Oreochromis niloticus: one gene and its partner. The protein of the gene in region 1 purifies or fractionates together with the protein of each later gene. This does not show direct contact. Links are inferred from orthologs where the notes say so. Each region holds a gene or a part of one and is shown in the gene's direction. Other genes may lie near its edges. The genes, in order: nelfa and nelfb.

The links.
Region 2: the proteins of nelfa (region 1) and nelfb purify together in Homo sapiens (affinity purification with mass spectrometry; 8 studies listed by BioGRID and IntAct, counting the BioPlex papers as one, with this or other methods). This does not show direct contact. The link is inferred for Oreochromis niloticus from reciprocal best matches to the Homo sapiens genes NELFA and NELFB.

The regions. Positions count from the first base shown.
Region 1 is NC_031967.2:22,302,116-22,309,470, forward strand, and holds the start of nelfa (negative elongation factor A), read left to right. Parts: upstream 1-4,223; 5' UTR 4,224-4,342; coding exon 4,343-4,552; exon of another isoform or gene 4,553-4,573; intron 4,574-4,924; exon of another isoform or gene 4,925-5,480; intron 5,481-7,355. Other genes in the region: nicol1 (NELL2-interacting cell ontogeny regulator 1), read right to left, coding at 1,022-1,110, 2,022-2,133. UniProt on the Homo sapiens protein: Essential component of the NELF complex, a complex that negatively regulates the elongation of transcription by RNA polymerase II.
Region 2 is NC_031977.2:1,194,025-1,202,153, reverse strand, and holds the start of nelfb (negative elongation factor B), read left to right. Parts: upstream 1-4,938; 5' UTR 4,939-4,976; coding exon 4,977-5,078; exon of another isoform or gene 5,079-5,390; intron 5,391-8,129. Other genes in the region: ectonucleoside triphosphate diphosphohydrolase 2, read left to right, coding at 1,227-1,454, 1,952-2,224, 2,607-2,726, 2,999-3,133, 3,230-3,436. UniProt on the Homo sapiens protein: Essential component of the NELF complex, a complex that negatively regulates the elongation of transcription by RNA polymerase II.

The DNA.
Region 1 (7,355 bases):
AGTGTAAAGTCTCATGCCACTTTCTCTCCCTCGTTTCCTCCAGCCTCTCTGTCCGCCTGTGTTTGACTACAGGAGTGGAGTGAGGTGCGTGGGATGTCGGGTCACCAGCTGCCGCTCAGCACTTCCTGCCATAAATAAATCGTACCAGCTCCAGCACGCTGCCTGATTGTAGACTGTTCACTAAGTTGAGCACAGCTCTGCACATCTTACACCTCCTCTCTGTCTCCAGCCTCTACCTTCCTCCACCTTCAACTCAGCTTTAGGCTCTCCTCCTAGACCTTTCCCTTCATTTCCATTTGGAACAATCCATTTACCCCCCCTTCCTGGCAATTGGCCATGCTGTTTGGGTCACAGCCGCTGGATCTAACTTATCTCCTTGTCTGTCAGAGTAATCGAGGGGTGCAGCGATTGTTCTCAGTTGCATTAACCTTCATTTCTTGGGTCAAACTATATAAACAGAGAATAAAAGTCATATCAGCTGATCCAAAAGCAGGTATGTGTGCCCTGAACTGAAATCAGCACTACAATTCATACGTAAGCTCGGGGTGCTTGGAGTTAAAGTGTAAAATGTACAAGTTCCAAAAATATTTCACAACAATCAAAACTGTAGCGACAAAAAAAATCCCTATTCTTTGCAGCACAGGAATTTATAGGCACAGGTATTATGACTGCTCTTTGGCACAGTGATGGGAGTGTGTGGGTGTCTGAGGTCGTTTGGAAAATGAAGCACAGCGATCTCTAAAAGCTGCGCTCCACAATTTTCATATCTAAAAACCAGGAAATAAATGAAAAATGACTAACCCTGCGCTAAAATGCAGACGTAGACATTAACATATACTAAAGCGTACCACATAATGTCACATTTAGTATATTACAATATGGGAACTGATAGAAGCAGTCGCCACCCCCCCAAAAAGGCTCATGAAGATCAGTTATTTTATGAAATACATCAGCTGGTGCATGAATCTCTGCAGTAGTCTCTAGAATGAAAAGGAAACTAGAAAGGAGAGCTTCCACTTACCCGGGCATCTAGGTTGAAAGCGGTCTTCTTTAGATCTTGCAGCGCCCTCTGCATAAACTCAAAGGCATGACAGTCCACACATGGGCGACCTGGAAACAGCAGAAATGAGTTCAGAAACAAAGACATGGGTTTAGATCAGCGGTGTGAGATACCAAGTTAGTACAGAGCCAGTATCACCGATGCTTATAAATGCAGATTATGTAGGGGGGAGGAGCGTGCCGTGATTTATGAGGTGAATGTATCACTCATACGATTAATGTGAATGCAATTCAATGACCTCTAAATGACTGTGAATTTTGCTTTTTTTCACAACAGAACACACACGCTCACGGATTTTCACATTTTGAGCCTGAATTTTTTTTGTAAATGTGCATGACTGAAAAGCATCAAATTAGACTCCAATTTAATGCTGATTTGGCGTCTTCTTGTGGCTGCAGACATAAACTATACAATGTATTGAGTAGAAGTAGAGAATCAGTGACCTGACCCAGAGTCATCATTTACATAAAGGCACCATAAACCATATTAATGAGACTGATTAGTCTCTAGCAGAAAGCCACTGAGTGCTGTGATTTGTCATCTTTGAATTGATAATTTATTTGAAGAAAATGTGTGATTTCTTTTAAACAAATATACAGAATTTAGCTTTGTGTAAGTGTTCATCTAGATGTTTTTCTCATCTAGCTTTTAATTTACAAACAACATAATCAAGCTTTTCTACCTGAGCATTCATGAAGTCACACAATAAATAACCTTATGGATATTTTCCTTCTAACCTGCTCGGTATGTGTGCCTTTAAGCAGCAGTGGAGGCCCAGTTTCATGATCCAAGCATACATTAATTAAGATGACCTACAATTCCCTCAACAGCACCCCTTTGAGACCTGCAGTCATTAGACTGTGGAAAGATCACCGTGGCGGACACATTCTCGCTAAACATCTCAAAACTTGCACTCAACAGGCGGAGGGAAAAAATTAATCTAATTTTTAAATCCACCTACTTTCGGCAGGGATGACAGTCCCCGTCTCATGATCCGCATCAGCTGCCCCGACACAGACGAGCTGCAGCGCCAGCAGCAGCACCACTGCCTGCACATACCCGCTGGATGCCATGGCGACGGTGCGATCACTTACTCACCTCTGATCTGGAGAGTACAATTAGGCAAAATGTATAAATTAAAGGGCAGAAAATGTCCTACACGGCCGTCAGCCAATCAAATGAGGGGGGAAAATGATGGGCTTTGTTCAGATAATGCTCCAGTTTCCAACCAGTAAATGTTTGTATGTGTTTAAAAGCTCAGCCCGCACAGAGTAATTACCGCTTATCTGACCACCTGCACGGTAACCTACCGTCAATCGGCCGATGATGGTTTGCAGATCACCAGACGAGCGCAAGATGCCCACCGAGCACTGTTGTATGGAGATTAAATTAGTGCGCATGCGTGTTGGTTGGCTGAAATTTTCTTCGGGGGGCCTCGGAAACGAGACTTCCGGTGACAGCACTTAAAGAAATAAAAGCCTTGATGGGCAGTTTACCCGTAGAGTTTATTGATGGATAGGTCATGCATTTATTATCAGGATAACAGAGAGAGAGAGAGCCAGAGCAATATTTACTTAAAAACGCAATGTAAAAAGCAGTATAGTTATTATTATTAAAGATACCTCATTTGATTACCTAAATTTTAGAGATCAATACTGCATTTTATCCCGTTAATTGAGTGCAGTATATACATACATGCACAGTTTCAGCTATAATTCCAATATTTAAAATTGTGTATTTCCATTGACCTATTTTTACATTAATATAAATCTAAACTGAAACAGTTAGTCAGACTGCAGCACACTGAATCTTCATGTTTTTGACACTTACATGTTTATAGTCTGGCATTAAATGAGGCGACTATACAGTGTAAAGATATAGATACATATCCAATTAATATCCCAGGTAATAAGTAAGAGCAAATAATGATTGACTATATAATTCTTGTACACAGCACGAATTAGTGAAGCAAGCTCATTTAAGATGTCTTTGTGGATCTAAAGAAAGTGTACAGGACATGAATGATGACAGAGTGGTGGGTGTGGAGTAGGAGTGACGGATGAGTTCAAGGTGGGAGAGGGATTACATGAGGGATGGACTCTGAGCCCCTTCTTGTTTGCAGTGGTGACTACCGGGCTGACAGATGAGGTCAGGCAGGAGTCTCTGTGGACTATGATGTTTGCAGATAACATTGTGATCCATGGAGAGAGTGTGGAGCAGGTGGAAGTATGCACAGGGGAGAAGAGGAATACATGTGTGTGAATGAGAGGGAAACATGTGGAGAGCTGAACATTTATAGAAATTGAAGGTGGATGAGTTTAAATACCTGGAGTCAACCACCTAAAGCTAAAGACAAGTGCACGAGAGGGGTGAAGAAGAGAATGCAGGCGTGATGGAGTGGGTGGAGACAAGTGAAAGGATAGCAGCAAGAGTGAATGAGAAAGTTTACAAGATGGTTGTGAGACCTGCTACGATGTGTGGTTTGAACAGTGGCACTGACAAAAAGATGGACTCATGATGAAATGAATCCATCAGAGGGATGGCTCAGGTTCAGCAGTTTGGAGACAAAGTTAGAGAAACAAGGTTGAGATGGTTTATACATGTGCAGAGGAGGCATAGTGGATATATTAGACAAAGGATGTTGAAGAGGAATGCCCCAGAGAAGATTCATGGATGTAGTGAGGGAGGACTGGTGTGACAGGGGAAGATATCAGGGATACGGTGGCAGGTGAACTGCTGTGGTGACTCCTAAAGGTCGCAGCCTGAAGAAGACATATTTTAAGATAAGAGGACATAATAATAATAATAATAATAATATACTTTATTCATCCTATAGGTGGGAAAGTGAAGCACAACAAACATATGACATCGATTAAATGGGTAGGATGTGCTGTGATTTAAAATAACAGACTGCTTAAATGCAGTAAAAACAGCATAGCAAATATCGGGGACCAGTGAGAAGTGTGGCTGCCAGTGTAGTGTAGAAATAACCTGTTACTATGACAATACAGATGTTTCTCTGCTCGGCAGATGTGTAGCACTGTATTACATGAGGTAACAAAGACTTCCCGCATCTGCCCTTGTTTACACCTTCCTTCTTAAAACTTTATTAACCACACAGTGTGTAACAGTTCTACACTTAAAGGTGGATTTCACCCGCTCTCCTCGCGGCTCTGCGGTGACAATTGCCCCCCCAACCCCGGGTTATGGGCGGGGTCCTGACTGCTGTTTTCTTAGGTAGCCTGTTAAAATGCCCGAACTCAAAACACTTCTTTTTCCAAGATGGCGTCGATGAAGGACAGCGACACCGGCCTGTGGCTTCACAACAAACTAGGATCCACGGACGAGCTCTGGACGCCTCCGAGCATCGCTTCGCTCCTCACCGTGTCGGTTATCGACAACATACGGCTGTGTTTTTCGAGCTTGTCGCCGCCGGTGAAGCTGAAACTCCTGCTCGGGATGCTGCACCTTCCGCGGAGGACCGTTGACGAGGTAGGTTAGCTCGCTGTTAGCCTGGAGGGTACGATAAGTTGTTACCTCGGTTTCACGGCTGAGAAACGAGCCGATAATTGCGCTAGATTTTAAAAAATACCGAGGTCACTGTGACGGTTTAGTGGCATTTTCAAAAGCCTAACAATGTTAATAAACCTTTCCAGCTAACATTATGCTACCATGTTTATCCGAGGGCTAACCGAAGAAGCGGCAAACTCGTTATTTCCTCTACATGCTCCCGATTTTTTTTTTTCTTTTTTTAAACCCAGGCTTCAATGCACGAAACACATTTACACTTTTACCCTCTAACGACAGGATACTCCCGAGCTGACTTTACCCCTGCGCGTATTTGTTTTTCCAGCGGTTGTTTACCGGCTACAGCGGGCAACGCTAGCCTAGCGGAGCTCGCACGGACATTGTGGTGGGATGGGCGGCTGAGAGCTGGCGTTAGGCTGAAGGGCGGTACTAGCTCCCGGACCCACTGATCACCTGTTCCTCCCGCAGGAAACGATACACAGCCGTCATCTGTGCGGCTTATATAGCCAGACTGTTCATTAACAAATGCAAAATTTTTAAGCTAATTATTAATGGGGTTTCTTAAAACAAGCATTCAAGTGTGTTGTTTAAGTAAAATTGGCGGCTAAGCTCAGGAGTAATTTCCCGTATGCAAACAACGGAAGCTCTTGGCTGTTTTAATGCAAATATTTATTTTAATTAAGTGGTTTTGAAGAAGAGCAGCAAGTGTGAAAGGGAAGGTTTACTAGATGGTAGCGAGTCTTGCTATGATGAATGTTTTAGAAAGGTGGCTCTGACAAAAACACACAAGACCGAGCTGAAAATGTTAATATTTAGACAGAAATGTAAAGAAATCGATTGAGTTCAAGGCTGAGATGGTTTGGACATGTGCAGAGGAGGGAGAGTGGATCTATTGGACAAAGGATGTTGAAAATGGAGCTGCCAGACAAGAGGAAAAAGAAAACACCTCAGACGAGATTCATGGATGTAGTGAAGGAGGACATGTAGTAGGTGTGGAGGGAGAAAAAGGCGATACTTCATAGACACAGGGCCACCAAATATTAATATTTTGTAGTTAAATGCCTTCAGCTCTTTTTAACCACCATCCTGAGATAACGTTAGCTGAGCAAACTTCCATTAAATTGGTCCAACTGAAAAAACATCCAACACTGGACACATTCAGCCTGCATCCTGCGTCCTGTTTGAGAGCAAGCTAATGGCTCAGTCACAGGAGTAAAAATAGGAGAGCTACCTCCTTACAGCTTAAAAATAATTGATGTCTGCCTGGTGATTGCATGCAACAGATTATAACTTGTGGTTGCTCACAGCTTGAGGATCTTGCACTCATGACCACTTTTGATCACAAGGAGATTGCACAGGTCCCCTGATAGGAGGCCACCTTTCTGCAGACAGTCCCAATCTTGCTTGGACTGACTCCAGTCACTCTTAGAGAGACTGATCAAGGTTTCCAAATAAGTGCTGCCTAGCTTATAAACACAGACAGATTGCCAACATGCTGCCATCAGTCTGAATGACTCTTTGTCAATGAGCGCAATGCTACTTGCTGCCAGCTGTTTGTAGGATACAACTGATAATGAAAGTTTAAATTTGAGGATAAAATTTGCAGTTAAAGAAATGTGCTAAATCACAATATATTTTGACGCAATACTCAACAAATTAAAAAATGTTAAAAATTATGATATTGCATCGTGGGGTGTTTGGTTATGCACAGGGTTGGTGTGACAGAAGAGGATGTTAGGGCTAGGGTACATGACAATGTGTCTCATGCTGGAAACAATATCTCTGTGGCATTGGCTGCTATGGTCATAAAAGGGGAGAAACTCATGGCGTGGTTCTCATCCCCCCCTGACCTCGACCCTATTGAGAACCTTAGAGCATCCTAAAGGAAAAGATCTATGAACTCAAGTTCAATGGATGCAAGAACTGCGAAGGTTCTATCAAAGAAGGGGTCCCATGTTAACATGTAACTTGGCCTGTTGAGATGTTTTTGAGTGAAACAGCTTTTGATTTCAGTAAATATGACCTCAGAATGCTGCATATTGAACAAATGACCAATTTTCATTTCTTTACAACCAATAAAAGGTTTTGAAACGGCATAATCATTTGGAACAGTGCATTTTGAGTTTATTTTTGCAAAAACATAGTTATCATTGTGAGGTTGCTCTAATGGGTGATGACTTGAATTATACTGACTGTCATTTGCATCGACTATGGAGGAAAGTCAGTGACAAATATCATTTGCAAAGTATTTTGGAACAGGGTTTATTTTGGCAACACTGAACCCATAAGTGCAGGGAGGTGGACAGAGTCTATAGCCTTAACTCTGTCATGTGGCTATTAACCGGACTGCATTTAATGGTTGGTTGAAGCTGGCGTCCTCCTCGTGTTACATGTTGGATCGCTTCTCTTTGATAAACATCACTGCACAAAATCAGGTTTCTTTGTATCCAGTAGTTAAAGTCTTGAAATTGCAGTTATGTAAATGTTGATTCATGCTGGATTTCCAGAGATGGAGGAGGTTTGAATTCAAAAGATGGAAAAATGGGAAATACTCTGGGATAATAACTAGTATTCAGAATACTTTTATATTATTTCAGTCACGCTCTGAGGGTTTGTTTAATCTGGACTTTTTTTGTCTGTAAAAGAGTGACGATTTATCATACAATTTGTAAAATGTCGAGGTGATGTGTGTCAGGTGTGAGCTAGAAGTGCCTAAAGTCATCAGGTTTGAGGAAACTATAAAAGAAATTGTCTTAAAAACTGTAAT
Region 2 (8,129 bases), on another chromosome or scaffold:
AAGGTGATATATACCAGTTTTTAAATTGTGTTGATAGGCCACGTAAAACCAGAGTCATGATAAACAATATATACGCGTGTTTTTTTTCCTGAATAGTTTCATCACGTTTACTGTCTAAGGACAGCGCTAGCAAGCACTCTCTGCTTATGAGCAAAAAACCAAAACAAAAAAACAAACAAAAAAAACCCCTGCCCTTTTGTGTTGGTGGAAAAATGTCGACCAATCAAAAAATGATATGGCAACATGACATTTGGTTGTTTAGGAAGAGTGGGAAGTTTTATGAGTGACGGCGAGAGAGAGAGAAAGAAAGACAGCAGAAAAAGAGAGAGAGCGAGTTTTGAGATGTGAGAGATTTGTGACGTTTGGCGTGTTTGGAGTGTGTAGTTAATGTGTTGTCTTGCGTAGTTAGTGTGTAGTGTTGTGGATAGTTTTGTGTTGTGTGTCAGAACAATCAGGTTACTGCTGTCTCCAGGTAGAGAACAGGAGTGATACACCTGCTGCTGTCAGACCTGCAGGAATCAGGCTGTGATGTTCTCCTTTATAGTGGACAGAAATATTTGGAGTGGCACAAATAATTTGTGTGGCCTCTTATTGAATGTAGAACAGCTGATTGTTCTGTAAATAGTTTGAAATGGTTATTTAAAAAAAGGGGTAAAAGGTAAATGGCTGCAAATAACTTTGTTGTTTGCAAAACTTGTGCATATGATTTTAAAATTGACAATTTATATTTGCATTTAAAGTTATGAAATATGATTCATTAAACATGTTTGTGGTTGTAAAAAAATATAACTTTTTTTCTACTCTGATTTTATGTTTTTTGTCTGATTTTAGATCAATTGTGTTAATACAGTATGTCAAAATGAAAACATAACTGTAAATTCAGACATGTGAGGTTGTGCTGAAAAGGATGATACCAAACAAGGCAAAGTAAATAGTTTTTAAAGGTGAAATGTAGAGGGAAAATCAAAAGTAGTGAAAAATGGCCAATTCTACCCTGGACCCCACAGGGTTAAACATTTTTTTAAAGTAACGCAATAGTTACTTTTCAAGTAATTAATTACTTTTAGAATCTTGTAACTCAGTTACTAACTCAGTTACTTTTTTGAAGAAGTAACTAGTAACTATAATTAATTACTTTTTCAAAGTAACTTGCCCAACACTGGTTATTGGTTGATTCTAAGTGATTCTAATTCCAATGTGGCGTCATGTCCTTTTTTATTACCCAGTATGGTTTTGTAGGTCACTGGATGAATCCAGGCAGAGAGACAATTGGAGCTTTGGATTTAGGAGGAGCATCTACCCAGATTACTTTTGAGACCTCTGAAAAGGTGGAGAATAAAAGTAACACAATGGAGTTGAAGCTTTTTGGAAAAACCTACAGACTATACACCCAGAGCTTCCTGTGTTACGGCCAAGACCAGTATTTAAGGAAACTGCTGGCTCATCTCATTAAGGTACTGTTCAACAAGTTAAAAGACTCTAACTGTTAATGGCAACCATTTCAATTGTAATCATCCCTGTTATAATGATTCTGTATCTTCTTAACAACTGAGAAGTTCAGATAGCAAGACCATATAAAACAGCATATGTAAACATGTTATTGTCTTGCTGCAGTCCTACTAAACAAAAAGGATGTTTGAAACACATCTCCATTAAACTTACTAAATAGATTAAGTTCACATTTGTTACATTTTGGGATCATATTGTTACATTCTTGCTAAGAGAGAGATGAAAGCTTGCCATAAAGATTGAACAGGAGAACTGCTAGCTTGTTAACCAAATTAAATTACCAGTCTTTACCAGTTTTAGGAAAATCAGAGTTGTTGCTACGAGGAACCTTAGAACAATGCAGTATCTGTGTTATGGATGGCTTTTATATGGTGAAATGATCTTTGTAAAAAAAATTATTAAAAAATGTTTTCTAATAAAATTTTAATCTTCTAACTTTAAGGATAACTATCAAAACAGCACAGTGTTCCACCCCTGCTATCCAAAGCAGTTCACCGAAAGTGTCATCCTGGGGAAGGACGTCTTTGATTCTCCGTGTACTGTGGACTCCAAACCAGACAAGATTGACCTGAAACTGAATGTAAAAGTTGTGGGCACAGGAGACTACCAAAACTGCTTAGAGAATGTAAAGAAGATGTTCTCCTTTGAGAATTGCAAATACTCCAAGTGCTCCTTTAATGGAGTCTTTCAGCCCAGCTTGAGAGGAAGATTCATGGTGAGAGGCTTTTAGATGTTGTCTAAAATATCCTATATTGAGGCAAAAAAGCATAGAAGCATAACGTAGACTCATTTGCTACGTTATGTATGCTCTTCACTGAATGAGCACTAATTTTTGCTTTCTGATATCCTTTCTTCTTTACACACACACACACACACACACACGCACCCACACACACTCCCACATACATTGATTGATTGATGATTGAAAATACTCCTAAACACTAAAAATGGAATGCATTACAGGCATTTGTATCAGGACCTAATGGATTGTACTAATGCTTCCTTCGTGGTTACAGGTCACATTTTTAATTCTGTCTTCAAAAACAGATGGGGGATACTTAACCTTCATCCATTGCACTATTCTTTCTTCTCCACAGGCATTCTCTGCTTTCTACTTCACTCACAAATACATCTCTACCCTCACCAACATGGATATGACGTCTCCTAATCAAACTGCAGAGGCTGTCCAGCGCGTCTGCAGCATGAGCATCTCTGAGGTACTGTCCATAAAGACTTTGAGACGTGTTGATCCTCACCATGTTACTCTAAGGCTCTAAAGTGACTGTTGACATATATCTACATATATTATCTATTATATATCTATCAATATCTCTGTTTCTGCACTTGTTTTTTATGAGTGCTTGATGTTTGTTGTATATTTCCGGCTTTGACAACTCAATTTCTCTCTGGGATTGATAAAATCTCTCTGATTCCGATGAGCTTTAAATAACATAATACAAAACCTCACACATTGTATTTTTACTTATAGATGACGAATAGGACAAAGCAGGATAAGAAATACATGAAGAATGTCTGTGCTGTCTCCAATTTCGTCCAGGTGCTCTTAACACAGGGCTACCATTTTGATGAGGTTTTCCTTCCTTCTATTTCTTTTGAAAAAAAGGTGAGAGGTGAAACGAAATGATTTGCTGGAATTTAGAAACTGATAGAATCCACAATATGATGTGATATCACTGCACCTCTTCTTGTGTTTCTGTAGGCCGGAGGAGCATCTGTAGGCTGGGCTTTGGGTTACATGCTAAACCTCACCAATCTAGTTCCAGCCGAAAATCCTGTAGTGATGAAGGCCCTGCCCATAGGGCCCTGGAAAGGCATCCTCTTCTTCTCCATCATCCTTATCTTCTTTGCACTGGGATACCTTCTCTTTGTCTACAGAAAAACAAAGGCTAATGAAGGAATGGTTTGAGAGCAAGGATAGCCAAGTTGAAGTAAATTTCTCTCAGGCAAAAAACCTTCAGTAAACACCTTTTTAATTTTGGCTTTTTATATTATGTAGCGAAAATCATTTTTAAAGTAAAGCTTACAAGTTTTGCTTTAGATTCACAAATTTCAGTAAATGTTCAGCTTACTCATGTCAGTGTGCACAAAATCCAAAATAAATGGGATTGTTTTTTAAATGTTCCAGACTCAATGTGCAATACAATACCACTTGTGATTAACTTGTCATTATTTAGCACTTTTCTAGTTTGAATGAGCACTGCAAGTAGCTTTTACTACAAGCTATAGTACATAACCCATTCACACACACATTCAGGCAGTCTATGAATGCATTTTCTATCACACACTCATACTATCTCTGAACAAATCAGGGACAACTTAAGGTTCAATATAGAACTGTGGCATACATACTCTAAGACACCACTAACAGCTAATGTGTCATTCAAAATAGCCATGTGCCTAACTGAAGGCTTTTGAAGACTGATGTGTTATCCATCCATCCATCCATTCGCTTCCGCTTATCCTTTTCAGGGTCGCGGGGGGCGCTGGAGCCTATCCCAGCTGTCATAGGGCGAGAGGCGGGGTACACCCTGGACAGGTCGCCAGTCTGTCCCACGGCCAACACACAGGGACAGACAATCATTCACACCTAGTGACAATTTCGATTATCCAATTAACCTATCCCCACAAGCTGCATGTCTTTGGACGGTGGGAGGAAGCCGGAGTGCCCGGAGGGAACCCACGCAAACACGGGGAGAACATGCAAACTCCACACAGAAAGACCCTGGCCTGATGGTGGAATTGAACTCAGGACCTTCTTGCTGTGCGGCAACAGTGCTAACCACCGTGCCACCGACTGATGTGTTATGTTTAAATTTAAAAAAAAAAAGTTGTTAGTTGTTTTGATGGAGTAAATCTTTTCGAATATGTTCAAACTTTTTTGTATGAGTCTGCAAACGTACTTTTTGATCTCTAGTTAAGCATTTTAAAATGGCTTTATATGAGACTTTAAATAAAACTTTAAATGTATTTTTCCGAGGTAATTATACTTCTACCACGATCTTTGCCACAATTGAATCCTCCCATGTATTTCAATTGAGAAGTTTGTGAGTACGGCGAATTTACGGTGGAGCAAAGGGAGTTTGAAATAGAGCAGACAGCGTCAGCTGAGTTCACCGCGAAAAAAAAACCACAGTATGAAAAGCAGAGACAGTAAAACACTTTTTTAACACTCGGTTTTACATCAGCTCTTTGTACGTTATGACTTCGCGCTTCTCCGCAGCTTGCAATCGAACCCCTTGATGCTCGCCCTTTTACCGCAGAGCACGCTGGAACGTTTCATCGCGGATGTTTCTGGCGGAGTGTTTACAAAGTTGCAACACAGGAAGCTCTCAAAAAGGCGAATGTGTTGTTTTCTGCAGAAGGAACTTACTTTTGTTGACTAAACTCCCGTCAGAAGACATCATTTGGACTTAGATCATTTAATTGATGCTTAAACTGAAAGCAAAATGTTCGCGGGGCTGCCTGAGCTTGGTATATCCAACGGAGAGGATCTTAAAGAAACTCTCACTAACTGCACAGAGCCACTGAAAGCCATCGATCAGTTTCAGGTAACACCCAACAGCTTAGTGCCTCGAGTGATAGAGTGTACATTTCGACTAACGGTAAATAAGCGTTCCCGGATTGATAAACAAACGATAACGTATGTTCTTAACCATCCAAAGCTAGTCACCGTTCTCCGTTGTTTCCTACTAAGCTATTTTCATCACTGTTGTAGCAATAAACAACAACAAAACAACACAGATTGCAAAAAGAGAAAGTGGGAGAAATGGTCAATGAAATTTGCTCTCCACTTCAAGTTCATATTTTTGAGCTAATATCCTGCGTTTAAAACTAATCAAAATGCAGGATATTCATCGCCTTCTCACCCTTTATTCCGATCTCTCCCGCTAGATCTGTGAAAGCAGGAGAGAGGATTGGAGATGGCAGACAATCTTTGAGCGTAATCTCACAATGCACAGAACGTGTGCCGTTCTGTTGTGGTGTTCGTTTGTGGTGTGTTTGGAGTGTTTGTTTTTTTTTTTTACCTCCAACTACCAACCTCTGTATATTTTATATATTTTATTTTATTGTTTACTCTATTTAATTTGTAAAATATGTATACACACACACACACACACGTAGAAAAACATATTTAGTATACACATCCAGTAATGCATATACTCTTATATATTGTACATATATTTATTACTTTCAGATTTAGCCATTCTTATATTTTGCTTGTTTTACGTTATTGTATTTTTGCACAACTCTGTTGCTTGTGAAGCTCGCACACAAGAATTTCATTCGCATGTACTGTACCAGTGTACCTGCACATGTGACGTGACAATAAAAGTGATTTGATTTGATTTGAGAGTAGGTGATATAAGTCGACGACAACTTAGAGCTTTAGAGAGTTTGAACTGCTATTTATTGTCTTAAATAGGTAATACAGTTTGAGGACAAAACCATAGACTGTATATGAAAAATGGGCATACTTTTGTCATGTGAAAATGTGAAAAGTGAAACCAGTAATCGTACTATTTGGCGTTTCGGTTTTATATCGGTGCTCAGGAGATAACCCAGACTGAATGGGCCCCATGGAGATGCAGCAAAAAACAGATTCCTGCCCCTGTCGTGATTTGTGCATTTTTTATTTTTGTTTTATTTATTTAGTTATTATTTTTGCATAGAAGAGGTTAAGAGGATTTAGTCCCATTTAAAAAAAAAAAAAAAAAAAAAAAAAAAAAGATATTTAAAAAGACTTGTAGTCAAGTCAATCTTCCTTAAGTATTAGGGATGTCACAGACACTCTTTATGGCAACAGTGGGAAGGAAAAACTTGTTTTTAACAGGAAGGAACATTGTATAGTGGGATTAAGAGTAATGGCTCTACCATATCTAAACCTGCATTCTTTTACATTGCCACCTTGGGGCAATACCTTTGGTTGTATAGACATGTATGGGAAAGCAACCATTAAACTTCTTTGATTTGTGGCCTCAATAGACACTTTACTGGGGGATTCATGGGCTCAGTATCTAGTTTCAGTTTTATTTAATACAGCCTGATATTCATGTTCCATTAGAGTAACTATGGAGGATAAAGCAGGATTTCTTTTACATGTGATTGACTAGTTGGTAAGATATGAGCATGCGGTGTCTCTCGATGGCACTAAACAGCGTGGTTCAGAACGTTGGATTGATAACTAACAGGTGATGTGGCTAACTCCATCTTTTGCACATTTCTGCCCCTGCTGATTTGTAAATTCCAGCTATGTCGCTTGTCCTTAAAATGGCACAGATGTAATAGTCTGGTGCAGTCAAAGAGATGAGCACTATCCATGCAGTGTCCACGAGAGTATGTAATCACTGTCTTATAAGGCCCGTTGCATGTGTAGTTTGTTTCATAGAAGAGTCTGTGTAGGTTCTCAGTCACCCAGGTCATGGTAATCTAGGAGCTTGGAAATAAAAGTTTCTTGAGGATCACCTTTCATCCAAGAAGCCTCTTCAGTTCAGGGAACTACTTCAGAAAACTGAAGAAGCTTTTTGGATGAAAGAATCATGAACAAAACATCTTCAAGAAACTTAAAGAAGTCCAGTGACTGTGAAACACACTGAACCAGTGATTGCCTGCAGTTTAAAACTGACTGGCAGGGATCCACCGAGCAGATCTCACTGATGTCCAGGTCATGAAGAGACTGGCTGTAGTAAAATAAGAAACACATTTTAATAAATGATTGTAAAAGTAGAAAAGTTAAAGTTTATCATCTTGTCCACATCTGCGGTGAATCTTTGAAATAAAATGCTCCAACATTTTTCCCTCCTGGGTCTCTTTTTTTTGTCCTCAGTTTTTTTTTTTTTTTTTTTTTTTTTTGGAGCAAACACATTTGTCCCTCAAGTTTTTCCACTTCTTTGTACATCCCCTCATGTTCCTTCCAATAGCTTCACCAGTCTTTGCTGCCTTGTAATGATGCTTTGTTTATTATTTCCTATATTGAGAAGATCATTGTTATTCTTTCACTGATAAATTAAAAGACTGCAGCCAAAAAGTAGCTAGAAATTTGGAGGAGGAATGAACAGTGCTGAAGTAAGTGTGATTTATAGGGCGGAGAATGTCAAGTTACAACATAGGTAATACCTTAGGTTTTCAGAGGTGTTACAATGTAAACTAAAATATAACATAATTAAAATAGAAATATCCTGTGTTTCTGTTTTTGTCAGTTTGACCAGATTTGCCAGTTCAACTTTCTGCATTAAACGGAGTCTATCTTATCAGAGCTTTAACAATCTTGAACATTTTCAGCTTGGGAACATGCCAAGGCAGTTTTATTATTTCCCCAGATACCAACCATTATGACAGAGCTACAGCAAATCAGTGATTTAATCAAATTCAGATTCACTTGCAACAAATTCAGTAACTGTTTATTTGAGTTTTTCAAGCACCAATCCCCAGCATTCACTGGTAATACTGAGTATTTGTGGCTTTGTCGGGTGTTTCTTTTTGTTTGTTTGTTTGTTTGTTTGGTTGGTTGGTTGGTTGTTTTTTTTTTTGGCATCATGCTAAGCTCAAAATAGTTAGGTTTTTGACTGGTCATCAGGGAAAAAAGGACATTTCCAAAGGCG